Linked DNA regions of Macaca fascicularis. The protein of the gene in region 3 binds, or shares a complex with, the protein of the main gene of each other region. Links are inferred from orthologs where the notes say so. Each region holds a gene or a part of one and is shown on either strand. Other genes may lie near its edges.

Region 1 (5,841 bases), on a different chromosome or scaffold from region 3:
TGAGACAATTGGGCACAGTCAGCTTTGCCAAGAAAAAGAATGGTGAATTCTGATCCTGCCTCCCAGAGACCCTAAAAATTTGAATTATATTACCAATGCAAACCACCAACCTGGGGACACTGGATGAACTTGGGCCTTAATCCTTAGTACATCTTCAGTTTTGTCCATTCCTTATTTTTATACTCCATCCATCCTTGATTCTGTACAATCTTTGACTTCTGGAAAAGAAGTTTGGTTATGCTGTTTTATAAGAGACCTCTTTCACTGGGTGGTTTCATTTGTTTTTCAGTCTGCTCCATCTGGACACAAGCATCTGACGGTAGAAGAGTTATTTGGAACCTCTTTGCCAAAGGAACAGCCAGCAGTTGTGAGTCTGGATTCAGAAGAAGTGGAGAGATTGCCAGGAGATGCCTCCCAGAAAGAGCCCAATTCATTCCTACCATTTCCCTTTGAGCAGTCAGGAGGAGCCCCTCAATCAGAAACCCTGGGTGTCCCTTCTGCTGCCCACCACTCAGTCCAGCCTGAAATCACCACCCCGGTGCTAATCACTCCAGCCTCCATCACACAGTCCAATGAAAAGCATGCCCCAACCTACACAATCCCGTTGAGTCCCGTTCTCAGTCCCACTCTGCCATCTGAAGCTCCTACTACACAGGTTCCCCCCAGCTTACCTCGAAACAGCACCATGATGCAGGCAGTGAAGACCACGCCTAGACAGAGGTCTCCACTCCTGAATCAGCCAGTCCCTGAGCTAAGCCATGCCGGTCTGATTGCCAGCCAGAGCCCCTTCCGGGCCCCACTGAACGTGGCAAACACAGCTGGCACATCCCTCCCAAGCGTTGATCTTCTCCAGAAACTCAGGTTGACCCCACAGCATGACCAAATACAGACACAACCACTTGGGAAAGGTGCAATGGTAGCCAGCTTTTCTCCGGCAGCTGGTCAGCTGGCCACACCTGAGAGCTTCATAGAGCCTTCCTCTAAGACAGCAGCAGCGAGAGCAGCAGCCTCAGCCTCCCTGAGCAACATGGTGCTTGCTCCCCTTCAGGTAATGGCAGGAGGGTGGGGGTGGGCATAGTGGGTAACTATAACTGGATGGGATGAAACTACAGACCTTGGTTTTAACTGTCATGACACTGACAGTTTTGAAGAGTTGTCCCTTTAAAGTATGTCGGGCTAGGAGACAGCTGAGGTAAGAAGCCCTATCATGAACAACCAAGTAATTTATTTTCCTATCTGGATATGCACTTTAGCAGAGGTTGTATGTTTGTTTTGCTTTTGCCCAGCATTTCCAGGAGTCCTCATTTGACTCAGGACCAAATTATTCCAAAGCTTAACTCCCTTCCTATCTCCCACAGCACTCTCCTAGAGTGCCTGCCTTGTGCCAAGTACCCTAGAGGTGCCATAAGAGCATCCTAGACTTGAAGGTATGAGGTCAAATAAAGCTGATTTTTTTCAACTGTCCACATTTACATCACCTTATCAAGAGGTGCCATGCTGCCTAGATCTCTCATCTCTATCTCTACAGACTCAACAGCAAAAATATGCCCAGGCTGCAGGACAGACATCACATGTTCTCACTTTATTTGAACTCATGGAGATAGAGAATAGAAGGATGGTTACCAGAGGCTAGGAAGGTAGGGGGAGGTGGGGATGGTGAATGCATAAAAAAAAAATAGAATGAATAAGACCTAGTATTTAATAACACAACAGGGTGATTATAGTCAATAATTTAAGTATATATTTTAAAATAATGAAGAGTATAATTAGATTGTAACACAAAGGAAAAATTTGTGAGGGGATGGATACCCCATTTTCCATGATGTGATTATTATGTATTGCATGCCTATATTAAAACATTTCATATACCTCATAAATATGTACACCTATGTACCCACAAAAATTAAAAATTATGTATATTCCTGGGCTGTCTCTGGCTCTTAGAAGGGATACAGGTCTCGGGCTTTTCTTTAAAGATACCTGAAAGGCTCTGCACACACCCCTTCTCTCCGGAACTAAAGAAGAGAGGCTGTCGCAGAGCTCTCATGCAGTTGAATTGTTGGCTGCATAGTTGAAAGTTTCTGTCACACTCTTCCCTTGGGAATCTAGGAACTAGTTAATATCTGAACCATTTTCTATTACTAACCTAGATTTTCCACTGGGAAAGTCTTCTTCAATTAAGACTAGGAAGTCTTCTTAATTGAAACTTCTTATATCCATCTATCTTTTCTTCATAAACGTTTCAGTCTATGCAGCAGAACCAGGATCCTGAAGTATTTGTCCAGCCTAAGGTGTTATCCAGTGCCATCCCGGTAAGGACTTGCTTTTTCTTTCTTTTTTTTTTTTTTTTTTTTTTTTTTTTAAGACTAGTCTGGTGCTATAGTGAGAAGGTAGAAAGAGTAGAACAAGGAATTTGATCTGTAACTGACTGTGAACAATCAGTTGAGCTAACTCACTACCTTTGGACCAGCCAGGACTCCCTCTTTCTAAAGGATACATTATGTATTTTTAAGTTCTTCTGCTGGATGTGAAGTAAAAGGTTGTCAGCTTAGTGAAAAGAGTTAGCTATGGAGCCCAGCCCATCTTAGATGCCTTTCCTAGGCCAGGCACCTCCCACCCCCGTCCTGGCAGAGTCCATTACTGTGGCCTCTGTGGATCTTGAGGCATCTGCATGGATATCTTCCCTGACTGTGTGTGTAGAGGGCATGGTGGGCCCTTACTCAGTATTTGTGAACAGGTGACTGCTAAGAGTGTGGTAACCTGGCTTATAAGTAGGAAATATTGCCCTGGAGGAGCTGTGATGTCCCAGGTGGCAGAGCCACTATCCTGCTACAGTCCTCTCATTTCCCATTGCTCTGAGAACAAAGCCTCCCAGGCCTGTGTGTTCTGTCCCGTTTGTCCTCCCTTGCTTCGTTTTTTGTTGTCCCTACTCTACATCACCCACTAACCTTGCAATGCACACAGGTTTTTTTAGCTCCCTAAAGTCATTTCTGTTTTCCTTTGAGCCTTTGTGCCCTCCTTGAGTCTTGGAGTTTAAATGGGAACCAGCTTCTGACTGGTCTTATATCTTGGAGTTTAAATGGGAGCCAGCTCCTGACTGTTCTTGGAAACGAGCCTCTTTTCTGTGTGTCTTGTCCTTCTGCATGGTGATCTATCTGCAGGAGCTCTCGGCCTGCTTTTGCACCAAAAATAAAGAAAGGGTAAATAGTTCAGATGCCAAAAACCATACCCTTGAAACTGGCCAGCTCTGTGCTCTTTGTAAATGAGAAAGTGACATGTAAGAGAAAGAAATGTAGATGTCTGTTGATTGTATCAGATCTGAGGATACTGAAAATACTGATGATTACTGGTTTTTTTGGTTTTTTTGGTTTTTTTTTGTGTGTGTGAGACGGAGTCTCGCTCTGTCTCCCAGGCTGGAGTGCAGTGGCCGGATCTCAGCTCACTGCAAGCTCCGCCTCCCGGGTTTACGCCATTCCCCTGCCTCAGCTCACTGCAAGCTCCGCCTCCCGGGTTTACGCCATTCTCCTGCCTCAGCCTCCCGAGTAGCTGGGACTACAGGTGCCCGCCACCACGCCCAGCTAGTTTTTTTTGTATTTTTTAGTAGAGACGGGGTTTCACCGTGTTAGCCAGGATGGTCTCGATCTCTTGACCTCGTGATCCGCCTGTCTCGGCCTCCCAAAGTGCTGGGATTACAGGCTTGAGCCACCGCGCCCGGCGATTACTGGTTTAATATATTCAGATAATTAGCTGGAATTAGCCTAGAAGCACATCTAAATGGAGGAGAGAGGTAGATGTTAGCTTTATTTTTAAGAAATTTTCTCATTGCTTTCTATAATGGTATAAAAAAATAGATTGAACATAACTGGATTTGGAGTTTTTGTTTTTGTTTTTGGTTGTTTTTTTTTTTTTTTTTTTTTTTTTTGAAATGGAGTCTTGCTTTGCCGCCCAGAGTGCAGCTCACTGCAACCTCCACCTTCTGGGTTCAAACCATTCTTCTGCTTCAGCGTCCCAAGTAGCTGGGATTACAGGCGCCCATCACCACACTCTACTATGTTTTTGTCTTTTTAGTAGAGACGGGGTTTCACCATGTTGGCCAGGCTGGTCTTGAACTCCTGACCTCAAGTGATCCTCCCACATAGGCCTCCCAAAGTGCTAGGATTACAGGCATGAGCCACCGCTCCCAGTCATAACTGGATTTTTAAATTCTTTTTTATTGCAGTATGATTTACATACACTGAAATGCAGATTTTTAGAGTCCAGGCATGGTGGTTCACACCTGTAATCCCAGCACTTTGGGAGGCCTAGGTGGAAGGATCACTTAAGCCCAGGAGTTCAAGACCAGCCTGGACAACATAGTGAGACCTCATCTCTTACAAAAAAATCAAAAATGAGGGGAGGATTGCTTGAGCCCAGGAAATTGAAGCTGCAGTGAGTGGTGACTGCACCACTGCACTCCCACCTGGGTGACAGAGTGAGACCCTGCCTTAAAAAAAAAAAAAAAAAAAAAAAATGCAGATTTTTTTTTTTTTCTTTTTTTTCTTTTTCTTTTTTTGGAGACAGAGTCTTGCTCTGTCACCCAGGCTGGAGTGCAATGGGTGCAGTCTTGGCTCACTGCAACCTCCACCTCCTGGGTTCAAGCGATTCTCCTGCCTCAGCCTCCCGAGTAGCTGGGATTACAGGCGTGCACCACCACGCCCGGCTAATTTTTGTATTTTTAGTACAGATGGGGTTTCACCATGTTGGCCAGGCTGGTCTCGAACCCCACCTCGGCCTCCCAAAGTGCTGGTATTACAGGCATGAGCCACTGCGCCCAGCCAAACAACACAGATTTTTAAATGAGTTTTTGACACATGTATGTATTATCCCTTAGGCAACCCAATCAATATGTAACATTCTGTCACTCCAGAAAGTTCCCTCATGTCCTCTTCCAGTCATTTCCCCAACTCCCCTCCCAAAAAGCCTTTACATTTTGAATTTATCATAGGATTTTTCTTACTGTGCATTCTATACCGTTATTTCTCTTACCTTCTGTGGCAGTTGGACTTGGCTTCCCGTAACGATTCTAGGACGTTCTTATATAAATGGGCTCGTCATCCCTTAGCTCACGGAAGTTTATAACCAGATGCTAGATGTTCAAATGCTCCTACTGAATGTTTACCTGAACCCGAAACAGTCTGTCTCTGGGCTTCACTCTTCTGCTGCTTGTGCCTGTTTCCACATGCTCCTTATTCTGGGCCTGGCTACTGGCTTCTGCACTTTGGTACAAAATGACCATTGTTCCTCTCCAGGTTGCAGGCGCCCCACTGGTTACTGCAACGACTACTGCAGTGTCTTCAGTCCTGCTGGCCCCAAGTGTTTTCCAGCAGACAGTTACAAGGTCTTCAGATCTTGAGAGGAAAGCCAGCTCTCCTTCTCCTCTAACTATTGGAACGCCAGAAAGTCAGAGAAAGCCTTCCATTATTCTCAGCAAGTCTCAGCTCCAGGATACGTTAATACATCTCATAAAGGTATGTAGGATACCAATTTTATCTTTGATTTTTCATTACTTAATAAAAGAAATTGTATACATTCCTCCTACAGAATCAGTTCATAAAGTAAATTCAAAAGACTAGCTGGAGGCCGGGCAAAGTGGCTCACACCTGTAATCCCAGCACTTTGGGAGACTGGGGCGGGCAAAAAAAAAAAAACAGACTGGGAGTACTGTTTCTCTTTTTTCAAGCATACCGTCCTGGTGGAGAAATATCTGCGCGAACTCAATATATTAATCATGATTGTCTCTGGATGGTGGGATTATCAGTTATACAAATCATTTATACAATTTTTTTTCCTAAGCTGTTACCA
Region 2 (5,841 bases), on a different chromosome or scaffold from region 3:
TCTTTGTATCCTTGCCCATAGTAGCTACTCAGTAAATACTTATTGAATCAATAAATGAATAGTTAGAAGAAAAAAAAATTCCCTTTTCTCACAAGTATCACATATTCATTGATTGAACTATAATTATAAGGTATAGATTCTCTAAAATAAGCTAAAATAATAACTTTACGTTCTCTTTTTAAAAAGAAAATTCAGAACTAATACATTTTTTACAAAGTGTGGACTATTGAAAATAAGTTAATATTACTACCCTAAAAATCAACCAAAATGCCCATTTATCTATCATGCCTCTACATATTCCAGGAAAAGAAGTAAAGAAACATAGAAAAGAAAATAAAGTAACTGGAAAGTTATGAAAATCATAATTTAATTATACATACATCATTATATCTCTGTAAATAGCAACAAGCTCTAACCAGTTAGGAATCATATTTGATCTTGTGATCTGAGTAGCAGATTATGAAGAACTTACAACCGCCCAATGAGTTCCTGTTGCCCACTGACCAGATAGAGCTGATTTCTCAAGATGTAAGAATTGCAACTGAGAGTTTAATACACATAGAGATGGCCAAACAAGATATTGGATTTTATAATTATTCAAATCAGCCGCTCCAAAAATTTAGAGGCTAAGGTTTTCCAGAGATAGTTTGGTGAGCAGGGGGCTAGGGTCTGGGTGGTTGGGGATGCAATTATACAGGTGTGGAAAATAGTTCTTATGTGTTGAGTCCAGTTCTGGGTGGGGGCTACAGGACTGGCTGAGTCCAGAGTCACAGGTCTGGGTGATGCCATCTGATAGTCAGAAATGGAGAAGCCTGTAAAGACATTTCAAAAGGCCAGTCTTTGGTTCTATAATAGTGATGTCAATTATAGGAACAATTGGAGGAGTTGCAAATCTTGTGACCCCCCAGAATAGTGGGCTGATAATCATTTGGCTATGCCTACATCTTAGTGGACTTTAGGCCCCTCTCATCCTGTTAACCTGGTGGCCTTTCATTAGTTTTACAAAGATGGTTTAGTTTTGGGGAAGGGCTATTATCATCTAAACTATAAATTATAAATTAAATTTCTCCAAGTGAGCTTGGTCTACACCCTGGAATGACCAAGGGCAGTTTGGAAATTTAAGGCAAGATGGTGGTGGTTAGATCAGTTCTCTTTTACTGTCATAATTTTCTCACTGTTACAATTTTTGCAAAGGCAGTTGGTCTCAAACTGATAATATGTAAACAAAAAACAGTGTCAAGAATTCACTATTGAGATAAACTATTAATGAAGAATACAGAATTATGTTGTTGGTTGCTGTAAGGACACCTTTTTTTTTTTTTTTTTTTTTTTAATTGGACTTACCAAGTCAACAATAGACAGTATCTGAAGAAAGATAACATTTGTGATTAAAGTCCTCTGTTCTCTAGGGTGACAATGTGTTGATTAATACCTACAGTGGTGTTCTCAAGATCTCTGACTTCGGGACATCAAAGAGGCTTGCTGGCATAAACCCCTGTACTGAAACTTTTACTGGTATGTTTTTGCAATGATGATACAGATCTTATGTAATTAAAGAAATAATTGCTGAGTTTGAGCATAATGTGAGAGAGAAATTCAGCTGGTGTTCGCACACACAGTAATGTTGATATCTTTTCTCTTTTCTTTCTTTCTTTCTTTTCTTTTTTTTTTTTTTTTTTTTTGAGACAGGGTCTTGCCCTGTCACCTAGGCTGGAATGCAGGAGTGTTATCACCTATCACTGTAGCCTTAAACTCCCAGGCTCAAGCAATCCTCCCACCTCAGCCTCCTGAGTAGCTGGGACTACAGGCGTGCGCCACCATGCCCAGCTAATTTTTTTGTATTTTTGATGGAGACAAGGTTTCACCATGTTGGCCAGGCTGGTCTCAAACTCCTGGGCTCAAGTAACACACCTGTGGCCTCCAAAAGTGTTGGGATTACAGGTGTGAGCCACCGCGCCTGGCCAATGTTGTTATGTGTTACAGAATTTGATTTGGCCCTTTTCTCTTCCTGTATGTATATGACTTGCTTAGTTAGTCTCCTGCTTACTGCCACTGAAGATTTTTTTTTTTTTTTTTTTAATTTTCAACTTGTTATTTGTTTTTCTTTTAATGTAATTACTTCTTTCCTGGTTGGCCTACAATAACTCTAGCAAGATTTTTTTATTATTATTATTAAACATTTCCTTGGCCCAACCTCTCTGTGATTCTTACTCATACCCTAATCACTTCCCATTTGGACGATAAATTCTCTCTTTTACTGTTTACTCTCTGTGGTTGACTCCCCTACTCCACAATATAAATAACCTAGGATTTCAATTCAGAAAGAGGAAATGACTCACCGACTCAGCAGAAGAAGGGAGGGAGAGAGCTTTCCTGAGAAGTTAGGCAGTGCAGCCACTGAGCTGCCTTTGGTGCAAAGTACTGGGAGGGTGGAGACCAAGTGATTTCCAAAAAGGTAACAGTAGCCAAGAGGAAGCTCAGACTCAAGAGATTCATGACTGCCCAATAGTTCTAGGGAGGGTGTGTAAGATTTCAAACCTGATCTCCACCCTTAGTTCTTATCACTCCATCATGCTGATTCTCATGAAGTGTTAAGTTCTTCTTCTTATAGAGAGAAATTTAGGACCCTCCCCACAAAAAAAAAAAAAAAAAAAAAAAAAAAGAGGAGGGGAAGGGAAGAGAAAAAGATCATGAATAATCTTTGGTCTACTATGAAGCAACATGGCCCCATTTCAATTCTGTGAGGTAGGTGGGAGTACCTCCATTTTGCAGACGAGAAAATTTCCTGGGAGAGAAGTGACATTGCAGTCAGAAGTCACAGCAGTGTTTACCGGATAGAACTCAGATTGGTTTTTTGTTTTTGTTTTTGTTTTTTTGAGACTGGGTCTTGCTATGTTGCCCAGGCTGGTCTTGAACTCCTGGGTTTAAGCAGTCCACCCACTGCAGGCTCCTAGGTATCTAGGATGTCATGCCTGGCAAAACCCAGTTTTTTTGTTCTTGTTTTTTCTTTTGAGATGGGGTCTCGCTCTGTAACCCAGGCTGAGGTATGGTAGTGTAATCTCTGCTCACTGTGACCTCTCCCACCCTAGATTTAAGTGATTCTCCTACCTCAGCCTCCCTAGTAGCTGGGACCATAGGCACGCACCTCCATGCCTGGCTAATTTTTTGTGGGTTTTTTTTGGTAGAGACAAGGTTTCACCATGTTGCCCAGGCTGGTCTCAAACTCCTGACCTCAAGTGATCCACCTGCCGTGGACTCCCGAAGTGCTGGGATTACATGTGTGAGCCCCCACGCCTAGCCAGAACTCAGATTTTGTATCTACTGTTTGCTCTTTGCTTTTGCCTTCTGGCTCTAGTCCATCTTTCTCTCTGCCTTCCTGTAGGAGAGAGAGACGTTCTGTGTCAAGTTTTTTCCCCAGAGCATTCAGTCAGCAATACCCCTGACCCAGGTCCTGCCTCAAGGCGATGGATATTTTAGGGTACAGAATTAACACATTTTGAATATATTTTTTTGAAAAAACTAAGTGCTGACCTATTAATAACTTCAAATGTCTTTACATTTCTTTCCTCATACTCTGAACTTGGCAAGTGGCAGTTTCTGTGCTGTCAAGACTCAGTAACTTCTGAGAGGAAAATCCCTCCTTTCACACGCTTTGTGGGACAGGATGTTAACGCAATATCTTGTGCTACTAATCTGGGGAATATCTTTTTTGTGAAATCTCCAAAGGAATTGTAGGAAAGCAGTCCTCACAGAGCCCTTTGCGTGGACCTCTTCCACTGGTGTCACGTAAGAGTGACGTGCGTCACTAACATGCATAGATCTGTCCCCAGCACTGGTCCCGAGGGCCCTGTACATCGTAGGCTTCAAACATGAACTTGGTGGTCATCAAGTCCCAGGAGCTTAGTCCCAGGTACTCAGTCAATAAATTGGTCTGTATAACCTCTTGGTGATTTTGATGAGGGAAAATGCAGCAGTAATCACCATTTATGGAGTGCTTACTGTATACCTAGCTCGCACTAAGTGCTTTACATACATTTTATTGAAATTCATACATCAGCCTTAATCATTAGGTATCATTATCCTAGTTTGTGGTGAGAAAATGAAGGTTCAAAGAGGTTGAATAACTTGCCCGAGGTCACAAAGCTAGTTAGTAATAGAGCTGAGACTCAAGCGAGACTTAACAGGCCAAAAGGAATTAATTATCTTCTCCCAAACCTGTCCCCGGCACACTCTTCTGTCTCAATTGGCAGCCACTCCCGACATAGTGTTATCCAGGGCGCTTCTCTTTTCTCACACTCCATCCCAGTCCATCCAGGAAGCCTATTGGCTCTGTCTTCAAAACATGACCAACATTGGACCGGTTCTCACGCCTCTGCCGCTGCCACTCTCATCGCACACCTGCATTTTCCGTGGCTTCCCCAGCTGTGCTCCTGCTTCACTTTTGCCCCCTACTGTCTACTCTCAGCACTGCAGCAAAAGTGATCCCTCTGAAACAAACGGGGTCCTATTGTTCAGAGCCCTCGGTGGCTTTCTTTTTTTTTTTTTTTATGTAAACAAATATCAAAACCCTTATAGTTGGGGACAAGGCTCTGACCTGATTCGGAGTCTGTACCCTTTCAGACCTCATTTCCTACTCTTCTTCTGTTGTTTACTCTGTGCCAGAAACGTGGACCTTCCTGCATTTCCTCTATGACAGCAGGCAGGGCCCTGCCACAGAGCCTTTGCATGGGCTTTTCCTCCTGCCGCTACCACACTTACCCCAGCTGTCTGCACGGGTAACTTTCTTACCTTCTTCCAGTCTCAATGCAGATGTCCCCTCTGCAGTGAGACCAACCATGAACACCCTATTGACCATGGCGGCCTTCCTGCTGATCCTCTTCACTCAGGTCTATATTTTTTTGGTCATAATATATCACTTTCTAACATGCTGTGTAATTTACTTACTGTGCTGATAGTTTATCATCTGGCTTCTACTGCAAAAACATAAGTCCAGGTATTTCTGTCTGTCTTCTCCACTGCTGTATTCTAAGTGCCTAGAACAGTGCCTGGCCCATCGTAGGCCCTCAATGTAGATCTGTTGAATGAATGAATGAATGAATGAATGAATGAATGAATGAATGAATGAAATGTGACGTTAGAGTTTAATTAACTACTAAGCTGTGCCACCTCCCTGGGTAGTTGCAGCAGCAAAGAAATTCTACAATAGGTAATTCAAAGCAATTTTTAAAAAAAACTTTAGAATGCAGATACATGAGGTATGAGTTTTAGAGCAAATTCATTGATTTTCCTCCAATGTTCAGGTTGGCTCTCATCTTCATTATCCAGCTTCGTAAATTGCTTTGTTTAAAATACTATGTGTCATGTGTTTGTGAAGTAAAAAGAGGAGCAGATAAGAACACATGACTCAACCTGTTTTTCTGGCACTTGCTCAGTGGGGGATAATTAAACACAATTGGCAGATGGAGCTCTTTGAAATGTTATCTGATGAATCAAATATTGCATAATTTGTTGTTGACATTATTTGAATTGTGCAATTTACGATGTTTAAAAATTAAAAATTTCCAAATTTTGGTCTGCTATAATTCCTACTTAGCTATTAATGCCACTTAAATTCTCTCATTAATTCTACTCTAGGCCCCGATACAACAAAAGGGGGTGGTAGACTTCAACGCATTTTCTAAAAGACTATTTGAGCTTATTTAAATCATAAATTTATCACTTGGGGAAAAGCTACAAATGAAGAGAAATCATACCAATTTTGTAGTAAGGGTGGGCGAGTGTTTGGGGAGCATGGTTGCCTTGTCCTTGGCCAGGTGAAAGGCTTTCTGAGAGCAGACATGT
Region 3 (5,941 bases):
TTTGGCCAGAGGAGGATGCATGCTAAGAAGGTCCCCCCAGCTTGCCTGGGGACTGAGTGACTGCGTGTGGGCTCTGTCCATGGGCTTCTTTTTAAAGACGTTCCTGCACCATGTCTGCTGTGGAAAGGAGATAGGGCAATGCCTCCAAGCTTATCCAACCTGCAACCTCTACAGGCTGCATGTGGCCCAAGATGGCTTTCAGTGCTGCCCAACACAGATTCATACATGTTCTTAAAACATTATGAGGTTTTTTTGTTTTTGTTTTTGTTTTATCATCAGCTGTGGTTAGTGTGAGTGTATTTTATATGTGGCCTGACAATTCTTCTTCCAATGTGGCCCAGGGAAGCCAAAAGATTGGGCACCCCTGGCCTAACCTGAAGGAAGCTAAGGGTGTCCTCTTGGGCACCCTGGTTTTCCATCTTCCCCGTGGGATTGGAAGAGGGGACCAGGGCAGCTGACGGCTCCGGACTTCCCAGACTGGATTTGGTGGAGTAACACCCCTCCTGCCCCTCCCCCCTGGTCAGGGAAGGCGCCTGGCTTCCAGCTGTGAGACGGGCTCCTCCGGACTAGGGGCCCTCCCCGCTGGCTGAGAGAGCTAGGGAGGGGGCTTCCTCTGTGACGTGCAAAACCCGGCCTGGATTTCTGCCCAGACGGCCCGGCGCCCTCCAGGGACCCACCTTTCTCCCACTGTTCTGGAAGAAGACCCCCAAGACGGCCTCAAGCACCTGCGGTGACTCACACTCACCCCCCACCCCTAAGTTTGAATGTTGAGAGCCCCAGGCTAAGACCACTTGCCTCTGCCACTTTCCATGTGGCTGAGGCAAGACCTCCTTGCCAAGGCCTCAGTTTCCCCCTCTGTACTTCAAAGGGTGCAGCTCAGGCAGGTGTCTTAATAATTTAAACGACGAATGTTGCTAAAGGCATAAGGGGCGGGGAGAGGGAGAGATCACTGTGGGCCATGGTCAGGGAAGGGTGGAGGAGCTGGGCCCTGAAAGGGTGGACTTTGATCAGGTGGAGAAAATAGCCAAGAAGGCAGTCCCTGCTGGCAGCACAGCAAAGAGAAGTGAGAATTAGGGAGAGCGGAGGTGAGGCTGGAAGGGACTTTGGTTGGGGCAAGATTATTTGGGGTCCAAATAACAAGGAAGGATGTTTAGACGTATTGCCATTGTGCTCTGGGGAGCCATGGAAGGTTCTTCAGCTGAGGAGTGACTTGGAGAAAGCTTTTCAGCCAATCCAATAGAGGGAGTTGGCACCTTTCCTTATGCCACCCTGAGTTTCTGGTCCCTATAGTAGGGTAGGGATTATTCTGCCCCGCCTTCAGTGCTTTGAGTGCTTGAAACACACACCATAATTTTAATTATATAAAAATGACATGTGTATCAGACGGGACAACCTTTAAAATGTAAAGAAGAGGCAAGTATCCTGCATCACAGGGAAGTCTTTCAACCTGGCTGGGCCCGGGCCTGCGGAGCAGTCAGGGTCCTTTCTCAGCCCAGCGAGCCTGGGGCAGGAACGCACACTAATTGAAGGTGACGGTCCCCACGCGTGCCATCCTGCCCTGGGCTCCGGAGGGCGCACAAGCAGGTGTGCACCGTCTACCCGCGCTGGCGGGATTGGGTGCCTGGTGCGCCCTCAGGTCGACGGTCGAACCCTCGGGCGCGGGGGTAGGAGCCAGGACCCTCGGGGGGACCCATCTGGGGTCCCGGGGAAACTCCGGGCCGCCTCGTCCCGCTAACTCCAGGCCGGGATTTCTCCCGCACTGACTTTCCGGGCCGGTGCCAGCCCAGCCTCCCGGTCCCCAGCCCCCGCCGCGGGGCCGGCTGCTCTAGGAGCGGGAGTGGGCAGGAGGCGGAGGAGGAGTTTGAGCGACTTTGTGGGGCAGCCTGGGCCTTGGCGGCCGCTCGGGCGAGCGCGGGAGAACGCGGGGGCGCCCGCCGGGCGGTCCGGAGTGGCCGATGGGGCCCGTGTGAGCGCGCCCAGGCCCGGCCCGGTGCCCGGCGGGCGGCAGCATGTCCGCGGGCGGCAGCGCCAGGAAGAGCACCGGGAGGTCCTCCTACTACTACCGGCTGCTGAGGCGGCCCCGGCTGCAGCGACAGAGGAGCCGCTCCCGCAGCCGGACCCGGCCTGCCAGGGGTAGGCGCCACCCCGACCCCTGACCCCTAGACCCTCCCAAGGCCACTAAGCCACCTGATGCCCTGGGATGCTAGGGACCGGCATCCTCCTTCCAGCCATTTGCCGGGGGTTTTTCTCATCCGCCCCTTCCTGAGTCTCCGGACCCCCCACTCCTCCCGCTTCTGCCTAGTCCTCCTCTCTCCGGGGGAACCTGAGGCTCTAGGGTCTTCTTTTAAGCCACGGGCAGGGAGAGGGGAGCCTGGAATCTTTCTCCGCACCTCAGATCAGACCTCCTACCCCACTGTGCCTCAGTTGACTCAGCAGCCGGGCAATAAAGTAACCTAGGGTGGATCTTGGCTTTCCCACACCTTGCCTTCCCAGCCCTGGCCGCGGACTTCTTTCTTCCATTTCCAGGAACTTAAGGGGCTCCCCACTCTTGGGTGCTTGGACAAGTGGGTGGACCTCAGGGAAGGAACCGGGACCCCTCGAGCGGGTGGGCGCCAACTCCTTTGCAAAGTTTCTCTCCATCAAGCTCATGAGGCAGGACGAGACGGAGGGGGAGGTGCGAGCAGCATTTTCTTTTTCCAGTAACAGGATCCTCGGCTGGAAATGCGTGTGATCCAGGGGGCTGCGTTTGGGCGGGTGGGGGCCGGGACTTCCTTCCCTGGCGGAGTGGGAGGGAGGGAAGCCCCCTGGGAGGAGGAGGCCTTCAAAGGGGCTCTGGGGAGGCTGGAGTCCTGGGCAGAGGTTCAGGCCCACCGAGGGTGCCCGTGGGGTGGAAGGGAGGAGAAAGACGGCGCCTTAGCCGGGACCTGGGCCGAGTTGACACCATCAGGTCATCTTGAAAGTGGGAAGCCGGGCCCTGTGCCAACAAATGCCATGCAGGGGCCGCATTCCCACCCTGCACGCTGCCGATGTGTGACCTGGGCTGAGCTGCCTCTGAACTTCAGTTTTCTTGTCAGTGTGAGGGTAAATGAAGCAGGCAGGCAGTGTTCATTTGCTTCCCCATTCCCACAGTCAGGACTGAGCAGCAGTCCAGGGCTTCCTCAGAAAGTGGTGACTTCCCCGTGCGCAGAAGGGTTCAAGCTGAGGTTAAGGGTATGCACAGGTGTGTGCTGGTAGTTCAGTCCTCAAGGGTCTCTCAAAGCCTGTGATCCCCCAGCTCCTGCCTTTCCTGAAGTCTTAGTAAGTACAGAATTAACAGTACTAAGCCTTTAGTACTCCCTCCCCCTGGAGGGAGTACTAAAGACCTGGGGAAAGGCTTTGTCTCAGAGGTTCAGGTTTTGATTCTTCTATCTCTGTCCTTCTATCTCTGTCCTTCAATTTAATTCTGTACTTTCTAAGACCTGGGGAAAGGCTTGTACTATCAATTCTGTACTTACTACCTCCCCCTGGACTTGGTCTGGGAGACTGGGAATCTGAGCTCAAGCTTTGTGACTTTGGGCAAGTCATTTCACCCCTTTCTGAGCTTAGTTTTCCTGGTTGTGAAATGGACCTGCCATATGCGGAGGATTCAGTGAAGAAACTGAGAAATGGGAGCTGTGAAAATGCCCAGTACTGTTTAGACCACCCTGGGGCCTCTCCTTCTGCACCCACCTCACGTCACCTCACCCCCTCCGCCCGCCCCCCCTTGCCTCAGAAATGCCCTGCATGACCTTTCCCTCTTCTCAGCTCAGCCCAGTTCCATCCCTGACTGTAACAGGAGTCCCACTCCTGCTCAGCTGACCGGGCAGGGGATAATCAATGTGTCAGGGGCTGTCACCTGAGCCCCAGCTCCCAGACCCCACATGCACAGGATCACTGCTTTGTGTCCCCGCCTTAAAGGAGCTCACAGCCTGCAGAGAATGGGGAGGAGACTGTCTCTGAACAGAAGTTATATCTGGGGAAACCAGGGAGAGCTTCACAGAGGAGGTGACATTTGGATGGGATCTCACAAAATGGATAGGATTTCCCTTGGCAGAGGGAGTCATTGAGTCAGATCTGAGTTCAAGCCTCAGCTGTGCACACAACTATTCTTCAGCCAGTTACCTCTCCAAGCCTCAGTGACGTCGTGTTGTCAGTGGGGCTAGCAGTGACAGGGTCATGTGAGGGCCAGAAGCCAGTGCCCGGGACTAAGGCTGAAGCTGAGGGTGAGCTACTGTCCTCTCTCTGGACAGAATGAACAGACTGTGCAGTCAGGGAGAAGGAAAACGACTTGGGTGTTGAGGATAGAGTTCCTACTGGGGTTGGGGAGGAGGGTGGATTGGGAAAGGGGCTGGGTCGGTGGGTGGGGAAGGGCAGGCAACAGTAGTTTGGATTTGATAAAGGGCTTTGAACTTTGGGAGGCCAAGGCAGGAGGAATCCCTGAGCGCAGGAGTTCAAGACCAGGCTGGGCAACATAGCAAGACCCGGTCTCAATATTTTTGTTTTTGTTTTTGTTTTTTTTTAAAAAAGGCATTGAGTGATGAGGAGTGAGTTAGAGCTGCAGCCAGGGTGTGGGGTGGAGGCTGGAGGCACCCTGTCCTCCTTGGTGGGAGGCAGCTGGGGCAGCCATTGCCCTCTCTCCACTAAAGCCTCAGACACCTGACTCTGCCCCAGAGCCACAACCACCTGCTGAGGGCAGGGCCCCACCCAGGGAGAAACTCAGGCTGAGGAAGCTACCCCGTGGCCTTTGAGCCAGTCCCTTCTGACCTTGAACTTCAGTCTCCCTATCCATCTGGGGACTTGGTCCCATCGTATGGTAGCATCAGACCTCAGAGGAATGGGTGGTGCCTAGCATCTCAGCTTGGATCAGACTCTTGCCCCCACACCCTTTCTGGCCTCTGGCACTAGTATGGAAGGAAAATGACCAAGAACTCAGGCTGCGTATTTGTTCAGAAACAGAAAAGTGCAAGGAAGAGTTGGTAGCTGCCAGGTTCTGCAACTGGCCAGGTTGGGGGAAGGGACCAGGGCTTTGTCCCTGGTAGGGCTGTGAGTGAGGGACAGTGTCTGCAGTCTCCCTAGTTTGACCCAATAAGGGGCTTAGGCTCTACCCTTTTCTGGGCTTCCGTTTCCCCGTCTGAAGAACAGGCAGAGTGAGACCTGCTGTGGTAGGGGGTAGAGCACGAAGCTGGAGGGTATCTGGAAGTGGGTTAGAAACACTGACCTTCAGAGGGCGAGGGCCGTTTGCCATTTCCCACTGTATCCCTGACTCCACCTGAAGGCTGGGCATGCCCTATGGATTTGGGGGGATCCTGTCCCCCAAAGGGTGTCATAAGCAAGGTGCCTCCCCACCTAGTCACACCAAGAAAAGTTTTGTCTCTGACCCATGTTTCCCCAGGGCTGCTAGGAGAAACAGAAATTTTCCTGTAGCCCTGGATAAAGTTCTGATCCTTTCATTCAGCCAGCCAGCAGCTCTTAAGCACTTACTATGTGCTGGTCTTCAGCTTGGGTGCCGGGGCACATGGAGATGAATCACATGTGCTCCCAGCCCTCGCCAAGCCCCCAGTCTGTAGGGGAGGCCAGCTTGTTGGGGTGCACGAGGGCACAGGGCTCTTTCTAGGGGACAGAGCAGTGGTTAGTGGGAGGCAGGGGCTCTATTTCCAGCTCAGCCTCGGACTGGTTGTATGACTGGACACATCATAGGACCTCAGTTTCCCCATCTGTCGAGGGGGGTTAATCCTGCTCTGCTGCCCCTTGGAATGCCTATACCCATAGCCATGAGGGGTTTTGATTATGTTATTCATATTTTCATCTGAGTTTTTCTAGGGGTCCAGCCACCTGCCAGGCCCTGGTTGGGAGCTGGGGATTTTGCAGATGTTTTTTTCTTGAGATGGTTAGGTCCTCCTCCGTGCCTGTAGGCAACCCTCTT

The links. Proteins that work in one complex are often made in the same cells at the same time.
Region 1: DAB2IP (region 3) and DCP1A share a complex: the UniProt entries of both Homo sapiens proteins name them as parts of the cytoplasmic complex. The link is inferred for Macaca fascicularis from reciprocal best matches to the Homo sapiens genes DAB2IP and DCP1A.
Region 2: DAB2IP (region 3) and MAP3K5 share a complex: the UniProt entries of both Homo sapiens proteins name them as parts of the cytoplasmic complex. The link is inferred for Macaca fascicularis from reciprocal best matches to the Homo sapiens genes DAB2IP and MAP3K5.

What each region holds. Positions count from the first base shown.
Region 1 is NC_088376.1:116,420,438-116,426,278, reverse strand, and holds part of DCP1A (mRNA-decapping enzyme 1A), read left to right. Parts: intron 1-289; coding exon 290-1,048; intron 1,049-2,246; coding exon 2,247-2,312; intron 2,313-5,288; coding exon 5,289-5,507; intron 5,508-5,841. UniProt on the Homo sapiens protein: Necessary for the degradation of mRNAs, both in normal mRNA turnover and in nonsense-mediated mRNA decay. Removes the 7-methyl guanine cap structure from mRNA molecules, yielding a 5'-phosphorylated mRNA fragment and 7m-GDP.
Region 2 is NC_088378.1:40,661,042-40,666,882, reverse strand, and holds part of MAP3K5 (mitogen-activated protein kinase kinase kinase 5), read left to right. Parts: intron 1-1,409; coding exon 1,410-1,515; intron 1,516-5,841. UniProt on the Homo sapiens protein: Serine/threonine kinase which acts as an essential component of the MAP kinase signal transduction pathway. Plays an important role in the cascades of cellular responses evoked by changes in the environment.
Region 3 is NC_088389.1:36,322,589-36,328,529, reverse strand, and holds the start of DAB2IP (disabled homolog 2-interacting protein), read left to right. Parts: upstream 1-1,867; 5' UTR 1,868-2,009; coding exon 2,010-2,133; intron 2,134-5,941. UniProt on the Homo sapiens protein: Functions as a scaffold protein implicated in the regulation of a large spectrum of both general and specialized signaling pathways.